2 linked regions of the Rattus norvegicus genome follow. The protein of the gene in region 1 purifies or fractionates together with the protein of each later gene. This does not show direct contact. Links are inferred from orthologs where the notes say so. Each region holds a gene or a part of one and is shown on either strand. Other genes may lie near its edges.

The links. The genes of interacting proteins can lie anywhere in the genome.
Region 2: the proteins of Irf7 (region 1) and Trim21 purify together in Homo sapiens (affinity purification with mass spectrometry; 3 studies listed by BioGRID, with this or other methods). This does not show direct contact. The link is inferred for Rattus norvegicus from reciprocal best matches to the Homo sapiens genes IRF7 and TRIM21.

What each region holds. Positions count from the first base shown.
Region 1 is NC_086019.1:205,797,039-205,801,965, reverse strand, and holds the start of Irf7 (interferon regulatory factor 7), read left to right. Parts: upstream 1-1,942; 5' UTR 1,943-2,345; coding exon 2,346-2,359; intron 2,360-2,442; coding exon 2,443-2,605; intron 2,606-2,689; coding exon 2,690-2,900; intron 2,901-3,239; coding exon 3,240-3,295; intron 3,296-3,365; coding exon 3,366-3,528; intron 3,529-3,689; coding exon 3,690-3,785; intron 3,786-3,992; coding exon 3,993-4,382; intron 4,383-4,467; coding exon 4,468-4,586; intron 4,587-4,666; coding exon 4,667-4,822; 3' UTR 4,823-4,927.
Region 2 is NC_086019.1:166,395,966-166,400,901, forward strand, and holds the start of Trim21 (E3 ubiquitin-protein ligase TRIM21), read right to left. Parts: upstream 3,407-4,936; 5' UTR 3,344-3,406; intron 1-3,343. UniProt on the Homo sapiens protein: E3 ubiquitin-protein ligase whose activity is dependent on E2 enzymes, UBE2D1, UBE2D2, UBE2E1 and UBE2E2.

The DNA.
Region 1 (4,927 bases):
TGTAGCTTTCGGCTTTCATTTTGACTGGTGATTTTCATGCCCAGTCTCTCCTGTCATTTTCTTTCCCCCTTGTTGGAACCCTTCTCAGCCAGCCTCCCTCCTACTTTCGTCTTCTCAGTATCCCCCTGAGTTTAACTAGTTTCTATTTAAAATTTTTGTTGGTTTTGGTGTTTTTAAAAAAATTACTTGGGGCTGGAGAGATGGCTCAGTGGTTAAGAGCACTGACTGCTCTTCCAAAGGTCCTGAGTTCAAATCCCAGCAACCACATGGTGGCTCACAACCATCTGTACTCTTCTGATGTGTCTGAAGAGCGCTACAGTGTACTTATATATAATAAATAAATAAATCTTTAAAAAATTACTTTTATGTGTATTAGTGCATGATCTACACACATATCTGTATGAGGGTGTCAAATTTTGGAGTTACAGTTGTGAGCTGCCATGTGGGTGTTGGGATTTGAACCCCAGTCCTCTAGGAAGAGCAGTCAGAGCCCCTGACTACTGAGCTATTTCTTAGTTTTAGCTTCTTGACCCAGCTGGAACAAGAACAATTTATCACTAAATATATGACCCCCCTTCCCCTAGAGGTAAATTGCTAATAGTGGGGGAGGGGCACCGGGCCCCTCCCACACCTATGATGAAATGTTACCGGGACCACTTTTGTGGTGGTCTTGTGCAGTGAGTTCACAGGTGGAATGGCTATGTCTTGCTCAGAGACATATTTTGCTGTACAACTCCATTTTCGGGCATTCGTTCTTTGTACACCACCTTGGGAGATGTCCCTTGAGCCTTGGAGAGGGTGACAGAGACGGCTCCAGCATCGCTTATTCTTTGCTCTTGGGCCAGTTACAGGATTCTACCCACTGTAATGAGAAGGTTCTCTTATGAAGGATGGACACAATCCTAGACTGTGGTGATATCATGTGTATGAGTGCATCTGCCAGAAGAGGGCATCAGATTCCATTATAAATGGTCGTGAACCAACATATGATGGCTGGGAATTGAATTGATTCTGGAAGAGCAGCCAGGGCTCTTAACTACTGAGCAGTGTCTCCAGCTCCCAGGGTCTTACTCTTTAAAGCAGGCTGGCCCCAACCCTTCTGCTTCAACCTCTCCCTGGATGGTATATTCTTATCTGTACCATTCTCAGTGTTAAGCCAAATTGTACCATAGCCTCTCTTTAGACTCCATTTTCTAAGACTTTTCTGCAAGCTAAACAAAACAAACAAACTGTTGTGGATATCCCTGCCTTACCCTGATATGCTTTCCTGAGGAGGTACAGGGAAAGACCTTTCCTACACTTCCACCAGGAGCTGAGCCCAGCAAATATACCTCCACCTACCACTCCTACTGTCCTCCAAGACTTGACCATTCTGTCCAAAGTAGGGTCAGCCTCTCTCAGTGAATCTACAAAGGGCCTGGGAGACTGAATCTGAGAGCTGAGTGCTTCAGATTTGTGACACCCCAGGGGCGTGTGGAGCCCTTAGGCCACACCCTGCAGCATTCCACCCCGCCCCTGACCGAAGTACTATAAAAGCACGGCTACCTCCTTCTCACTGAGATAAAACCGTCCCGGCGGCTCCGGTACCAGGTATGTGGGACCCTTGGGCCACTTGGGGAGGGAGGTGAGATAGTGCCACAGGGGAAATTCTTGTCCCCTCTACAGAGTAGTGAGCGATTGGGGAAGGACAGTGAAGAGAGACTCGGGGAAACAGGAGGGCAGACTCCCTGGGAAGCATTTGCAATTGAATCTGTAGGGGTTGGGCTCTGAGCGAGGGTCGGGTGGAAGTCGAGGACTGCACCCGTCCGCGAAGGCCCGGAGACAGTGAGGCCCGCAGCTTCACTGCGCTGTTGAGCTGTTTGGACAGTTTAGGTTTCATTTTCCCGAGACGCAGTTTCGTTTCACTCGCCTGGGCCCGCCCCTTTTATTCAACATGTCTTTGCAGGGTCCAGCCTGTGACAGCCCATCCAGGCCCGGACGCTGGATCAACACCTGTGACATCACATGTGCGCTCCCGCTGCTACATCTGTAGTCACATCTACAGCCACCTTGGCCTAGGAATCCACACTTAAATTGGGAACCTAGGTGGCTATAAGTTCTCAAACCTCATCTGTGACCCTCAACACCCTAATACCTGGGTCACACTTGTGAAACTTCAATTCCCACCTGTGACCAACAATCCTAACGTTTAAAACATATTTATGAAACTTGGTTACACTATCTGTGGCTAAAACCATAAAGACACCCAAGGGACTCTTACCTTATTTGTAATACTGCCTCAGTGACTGCAAGTCATCAGAGTAGTAGCACCTACTTTCTCCCAGACTGCCCGTGTAGAAGGAGCAATGGCCGAAGTGAGGTGAGAACATGCCTACCCTGGTTGTATTGGGTCCCATATCCCTTGCATTGGCCCTAATCCTAGCATGGCTGCCCTGCTTGCAGGGGGGTCCAGCGAGTGCTGTTCGGAGACTGGCTCTTGGGTGAGGTCAGTAGTGGCCGGTACGAGGGGCTGCAGTGGCTGAATGAGGCTCACACAGTCTTCCGTGTGCCCTGGAAGCATTTCAGCCGTAGGGATCTGGATGAAGCTGATGCACAGATCTTCAAGGTGGTACCCAATCCTGCCCTCCTTATAATCCGCCACAACTCCTGGGGAATCCAGCCTTAACCCATGCTCTCTCCTCTCCTTCAGGCCTGGGCTGTGGCCCGAGGGAGGTGGCCACCTAGTGGAGTTAACTTACCACCCCCAGAGGCTGAGGCTGCTGAGCGAAGAGGCTGGAAGACCAACTTCCGATGTGCACTCCGCAGCACAGGGCGCTTTATCTTGCGTCAAGACAACTCAGGGGACCCTGCTGATCCGCACAAGGTGTATGAACTTAGCCCGGAGCTTGGATCTACAACTGGTGAGGAGGGCCATAGATAGGGAGGGCCGTACACGGCCGCTGCTGTTTTGGTTGCTTCAATGGTTTGACTTGTGGTTTTTGAAACTAGTTGTAGATTCAGTTCCTCTCCTTTCAAGGTGTGTGTGTGTGTGTGTGTGTGTGTGTGTGTGTGTGTGTGTGTGTGTGTGCGCGCGCGCGCGTGCACGTGTGCTTGCACTTCCTCCTAAGTCAGAGCCTTGGGCTGAGTGAGGTGCTTTGGGAACAGAGGGTGTGAGGAATAGAGAACTTTTGGAACTGCTCAGGCACCATAACCAAGTTACACATCAGCCTCAGATCCGAATCCTCTCCCTTCTCCTTCAGGCCCAGCTCTGGAGAACAGGGAAGAAGTGACCCTCAGCAGTGCCCTACCCACACAGGTACAGTCAGGTTCATTCTTTCTAGGTGTGGGCGATTGGCAGCCGCCTACCACAATGCTTTCTCTTGCAGGGTATGTCCCTAGGATCATTCCTGGCAAGAGGAAATGCTGGGTTGCAAACCCCAAGCCCTCTGCTTTCTGGTGATGCTGGGGACCTCTTGCTTCAGGTTCTGCAATACAGCCACCTACTGGACTCTGAGTCTAGGGCGGACTCAGTCCCACCACAGGCTTCTGGTGAGAGACAGGAACTATTACAGAGCTGGGGTCAAGCTAGAGAACCCCATCTGCCTAAGGCTATGAGAGGGAGGACCACAGAGCCCTTGCTGGGAGGAGGAAAGATAAGGGTGCTAGAATGACAGGGGTAAGATTGACAGGCAGCTCCAACTTGTCCTCAGGCCAGGAGCAAGAACACCTTCCTGAGGAGCCCCATGCAGCATGGCAGATGGAAGCTACCTCCAGCCCCAGGCTTCAACACCCAGTTCTGATGACTGGTGAGGAACCGGGGACCTGTTGGTGTGGGGTAGAGCTGAGGTGCTAGCACAGCTCTTCTCTACTACATACCTAGATCCTAAGCAGAATACTGCTCCACTGACCCTCATACCAGTGCCCCCAGTGGGAGGCAAATAGGTCCTTGGCAAGGAGTGTGGGCAAAATGCCTACCCATACCCATTACTCAAACTTGGTCTATATATACCCAGAGCGCAACCTTGGGTCCCTGGATGTGACCATCATGTACAAGGGCCGCACAGTGCTACAGGCAATGGTGGGGCACCCCAGATGCGTGTTCCTGTATAGCCCCGTGGGCTCAGCAATAAGAACTTCAGAGCCCCAGCCGGTGATTTTTCCGAGCCCCGCTGAGCTCCCAGATCAGAAGCAGCTGCACTACACAGAGACTCTCCTACAGCATGTGTCTCCAGGCCTTCAGCTGGAGCTTCGGGGGCCATCACTATGGGCCCTGCGAATGGGCAAGTGCAAGGTGTACTGGGAGGTGGGCAGCCCTATGGGCTCCACCAACCCCTCCACCCCAGCCCAGCTGCTGGAGCGCAACTGCCATACTCCCATCTTTGACTTCAGCACTTTCTTCCGAGGTCAGTGAGGTGTCTGTCTGGGGTGCTTGTCCTTTGGGGCTTGGAGCCTTTCTTAACCTGCTCACCAGAGTGATCTCCTTAACAGAACTGGAGGAGTTCCGGGCCCGGAGGCGACAAGGATCACCACATTACACCATCTACCTGGGTTTTGGGCAAGACTTGTCAGCAGGGAGGCCCAAGGAGAAGAGCCTGATCCTGGTGAAGGTAGAGCCTGGGTTTGCCAAGTAAAGATGTGTGGGCTGCTGGGTAAGCTGGGTAAGAGCCCTAACATGTACTTTCCACAGCTGGAGCCATGGCTGTGCAAGACACATCTGGAAGGCGTGCAGCGTGAGGGTGTGTCCTCTCTGGACAGCAGCAGTCTTGGCCTGTGCTTGTCTAGCACCAATAGTCTCTACGATGACATTGAACACTTCCTCATGGACCTGGGTCAGTGGGCTTGATTCAGAACCCCAACTTCCAATAGAGTTCAGAACCACTGCTGCCCTGGCTCAGGCTTATTCCTTGGCTATATGTCATCTCTAGTGGACCTTGTGGAGTCCCTTGAA
Region 2 (4,936 bases), about 39 Mb from region 1:
AGCAGTAGCCAACATCAAAGTAAATGGAGGAAAACTTGAAGCAATCCCACTAAAAATCAGGGACTAGACAAGGCTGCCCACTTTCTCTCTATCTGTTCAACATAGTACTCAAAGTCCTATCCAGAGAAATTAGACAACAAAAGCAGGTCAAAGGGATACAAATCAAAAGGAAGATGTCAAAAAAGTCACTATTTGCAGATGATATGATAGTATCCTTAAGTGACCCCAAAATTTTCACCAGAGAACTCCTAACCTGATAAACTACTTCAGCAAAGTGGCTGGATATAAAATGAACTCAAACAAATCAGTAGCTTCCCTTTACTCAAAGGATAAACAAGTTAAGAAAGAAATTAGGGAAATGACACCCTTCACAATAGTCACAAATAATACAAAGTACCTCCCTGTGACTCTAACCAAGAGAGGGAAAGATCTGTATGACAAGAACCTCAAGTCTCTGAAAAAGAAATTGACGAAGATCTCAGAAGATGGAAAGATCTCCCACGCTCATGGATTGGCAAGATTAATATTGTAAAAATGGTCATCTTGCCAATAGCAATCTGCAGATTCAGTACAATCCCCATCAAAATTCCAACTCAATTCTTCATAGAGTTAGACAGAACAATTTGCAAATTCATTTGGAATAACAAAAGACCCAGGATAGCAAAAACTATCCTCAACAATAAAAGGACTTCAGGGGGAATCACCATCCCTGACCTCAAGCAGTATTACAGAGCAATGGTGATAAAAAGTATATGGTATTGGTACAGAGACAGACAGATAGACCAGTGGAATAGAATTGAAGACCCAGAAATGAACCCACACACCTATGGGCACTTGATTTTTGACAAAGGAACCAAAACCATCCAATGGAAAAAAGATAGCATTTTCAGCAAATGATGCTGGTTCAACTGGAGGTCCTCATGTAGAAGAACACAAATTGATCCACTCTTATTGCCCTGTACAAAGCTCAAGTCCAAGTGAACCAGGAACCTCCACATAAAATAAGATGCACGCAAACTAAGAGAAGAAAAAGTGGGGAAGAGTCTCGAACACATGGGCACTGGAAAAAATTTCCTGAACAAAACACCAATGGCTTATGCTCTAAGATCAAGAATCAACAAATGCGACCTCATAAAACTGCAAAGCTTCTGTAAGGCAAAGGACACTGTCATTAGGACAAAATGGCAACCAACAGATTGGGAAAGATCTTTACCAATCCTACATCTGATAGAGGGCTAATATTCAATATATACAAAGAACTCAAGTAGTGAGACTCTAGCGAACCACATAACCCTATCAAAAATGGGGTTCAGAGCTAAACAAAGAATTCTCAACTGAGGAATACCAAATGGCTGAGAAGCACCTAAAGAAATGTTCAACATCCTTAGTCATCAGGGAAATGCAAATCAAAACAACCCTGAGATTACATCTCACACCAGTCAGAATGGCTAAGATCAAAAACTCAGGTGACAATAGATGCTGGCGAGGATGTGGAGAAAGAGGAACACTCTTCCATTGTTGGTGAGATTTCAAGCTATTACAACCATTTTGGAAATCAGTCTGGAGGTTCCTCAGAAAACTGTCATAGTACTACCTGAGGACCCAGCTATACCACTCCTGGGTATACACCCAAAAGATTTTTCAACATATAACAAGGACACATGCTTCATTATGTTCATAGCGGCCTTATTTATAACAGCCTGAAGCTGGAAAGAACCCAGATGCCCTTCAACAGAGGAATGGATACAGAAAATGTGGTACATCTACACAATGGAATACTACTCAGCTATCAAAAACAATGACTTCATGAAATTCATAGGCAAATAGATTGGACTAGAAAATATCATCCTGAATGAGGTAAGTCAATCAGTAAAAACATACATGGTATGCAGTCATTGATAAGTGGATATTAGCCCAAACCTTGGGTTACCTAAGATACAATCCACAGATCACATTAAGCTCAAGAAGGACGACCAAAGTGCAGATGCTTCAGTCCTTCTTAGAAGAAGGAACACAAATATTAATAGGAGGAAATATATAGACAAAGTTTGGAGCAGAGACTGAAGGAAAGGCCATCCAGAGACTGCCCCACCTGGGCATCCAGACCATATATACATACAGCTACCAACCCTAGACAATATTGCTGATGCCAAGAAGTGCATGCTGACAGGAACCTGAAATAGCTGTCTCCTGAGAGGCTCTGCCAGAGCATGACAAATACAGAGGCAGATGCTCACAGCCAACCATTGAACTGAGAGTGGGGTCCCCTTTGGAGGAGTTAGAGAAAGGATGGAAGGAGCTGAAGGGGCTTGCAACCCCATAGGAAGAACAATATCAACCAACCAGAGCTCCCAGGGACTAAACCACCACCCAAAGAGTACACATGGACAGACCCATTGCTCTAGCTGCATAAGTAGCAGAGGATGGCCTTTTGGGGCACCAATGGGAGGGGAAGCCCTTGGTCCTGCCAAGAATTGACATCACAGTGTAGGAAATGTCTGGGCAGGCGGGTGGTAAGGGGTGGGCGGGGGAACACCATCATAGAAGAAGGGGGAGGGGAGGTGGAATAGGGGGTTTATGGAAGAGAAAACAGGAAAGAGATAACATTTGAAATAAAAATAAAAAAAAATCCAATAAAAAAACTTCAAGATGTGCATTCATTATCCTGAGTACATCATCTAAGAGTATATTTCCCAGTTATTAGGCTTGTGTGTGTGTGTGTGTGTGTCAGACACACACACACACACACACACACACACACACACACACACAAATTGATGTCTTTATTTACCCTGATATGTTCCATTGTAAGCTACACTTGAGCACAAATGCATCAATGTAGGCATGCCCATACGTTCCTCTATCTAAATGTCTATGTACAGAATATGTATGTATGCTCATCTATTGACATTTGTGGGGAGCACTCCCTGGGCTCTTCTCTAAGCTCCTCCAAGCCTAGTACTTCTCTCAACTTCCTTTAGGGTGCTGAGTATCTTAAACCCACTGAAATTTCTAAGTGGCTAGCACTCTCCTCAATCGAGGGTCTTCAAGGGGCTGGGGTTTCCCCGAGTTCCCCCCTCCCCTCTCCCTCCCGGACTAGGTCACCGCCCTGCTTCTCCTGCTCATGGCACTAGGAAAGTCAATTTCAGAGACCAGCTTTCACAGGGAAGCACGGGCAGCCTGGCAGGGTTGGGACTAGAGAACTCCGCTGAAGAGAAGCAGCAGGTGGGCTAGGAAATTCCGTGTGTAGGGCGCTAGTGGGAAGCGGCTCCTTGAATCTGTGGCATTGGGGTGGGGTGGGGGGAGCCCATCTAGTCTGGCCAGGGGTCCCATCCTCACTCACCTTACCAGGGTCCTCAGACTTGGCTAGGCTGTTTTCAGCTTCACTTTTGCAAGCCCGCAGTCTAATTTCACTTTCAGTTTCCTCTCAGAGGTAAGCTTAGAAGGAAGAGGGAGGAGCAAGGGGAGGAACAGGGAGTTGACTGGCAAGCCTTGGAGGCAGATAGGGCGGAGACTGGGCAGAGAGTGGGAGGAGAGTGGTCAGAGGTGCCAGAAACTGACTTCAGGCCACAGGCAAAGGAAAACTCAGTTAATGTCTTCTTGGGTGCAGTCTCTCTAAGGCCTCCTTGTCACCTTTAACAGACTGTAATCTACAGGATATCGACCTTTGACACTGGTCTTTACTTCAAACCTGGGAGCATCTGGGAGAAGAGGTCTGGATGGGAGAGGAGTTACTATCTTTTCTAGAGGGATCTTCCCACAAGACTGATAGTTCTTTAAAATCCGGGTGAAAGATCCTGGCACTGTTTTTGTTAACATATATTAATTGCACAGTATGCTTGACATATGCCCATTTCCCATCCCTCTGTCTTCTCGTTTTGCTCCCCTCTTTTCAAATAGTCTAGGGTGAGAAATTTATTCCTAATGATGTTAGGGTATGTGTTGTAGCAATGAAGGGAGACTTGTGGACATTGATTGTATTATAATTTGCGCTAAAACCATCAGGTGAATTTTCCTTGCCATTTATCATATTTAGGAAATAAAAGCATTCCGTGCTTTGAAATTTCCAGCCCTGTTTAAGAGATCCTTCTCAGTAAAAGGTCACCAGGCGACATCTACTGTCTAGATTGTGCTGTTGTATTGGGACTTGATTCCAGGAACACAACAGCTCCAGGAAGCAGAATGAAAAACAGAGTCAAGCATCTGAAAGGACAAAGGCATCTGCAAACATCAGAAAATGATTCTGCTTCACACCACTGAAGATCTGTCGCTATTTCCTGCAGGCAAAGAACTTGGGTCCCAAAATAAGGTAGTGGTAGAGTCAATGTCTATTTTTCTATTTACCACTAGATGACGCCTTATCTGTTTCAGTTTACACACTGGATAGAGAGATTAATACACACCCTAGGGTTGTGGTGATAAATACTCTATAATGTGCACACAGGATGACCAATGTAATATACTCATAGCTGCCTCAGCTCCCACCTTGGTAATTATCTGAAGACCCAAACTCCTGAAGAACAAAATCTCCTTCACTCTCAGCTAGTACTTTGATATCTCAACCCTCCTTCCCCTGGGCGAAATGACTCAAGTATTTATTTGGGAAGAGTTAATGTCATTGATAGGACTGTCTAGTACATTATCAGTGTTTTGGTGAAGTGAGATATTTATGCTTTGGGTTTTAGTCAGGCTTTACTAACTTGAATGTGTTTCAGTAACCCAAGTTGTCTCAGTGGTACCCAAGTCCACTCTGTCCAGGACAGGAAAAGCATTCTTTACTCATTTCTAACTTAGTGACCTAAGAAGCCCCAAAGATACAGAAGTAGAAGGAGGACAGCTGGGAACAGGAAAGGACCAATGGGTGTGGGAGAGGCACAAGAAAGATGACAGAGGGTTGACCAGTTGCTGGTTTTGACAGTGTATCAGAATTATGGGG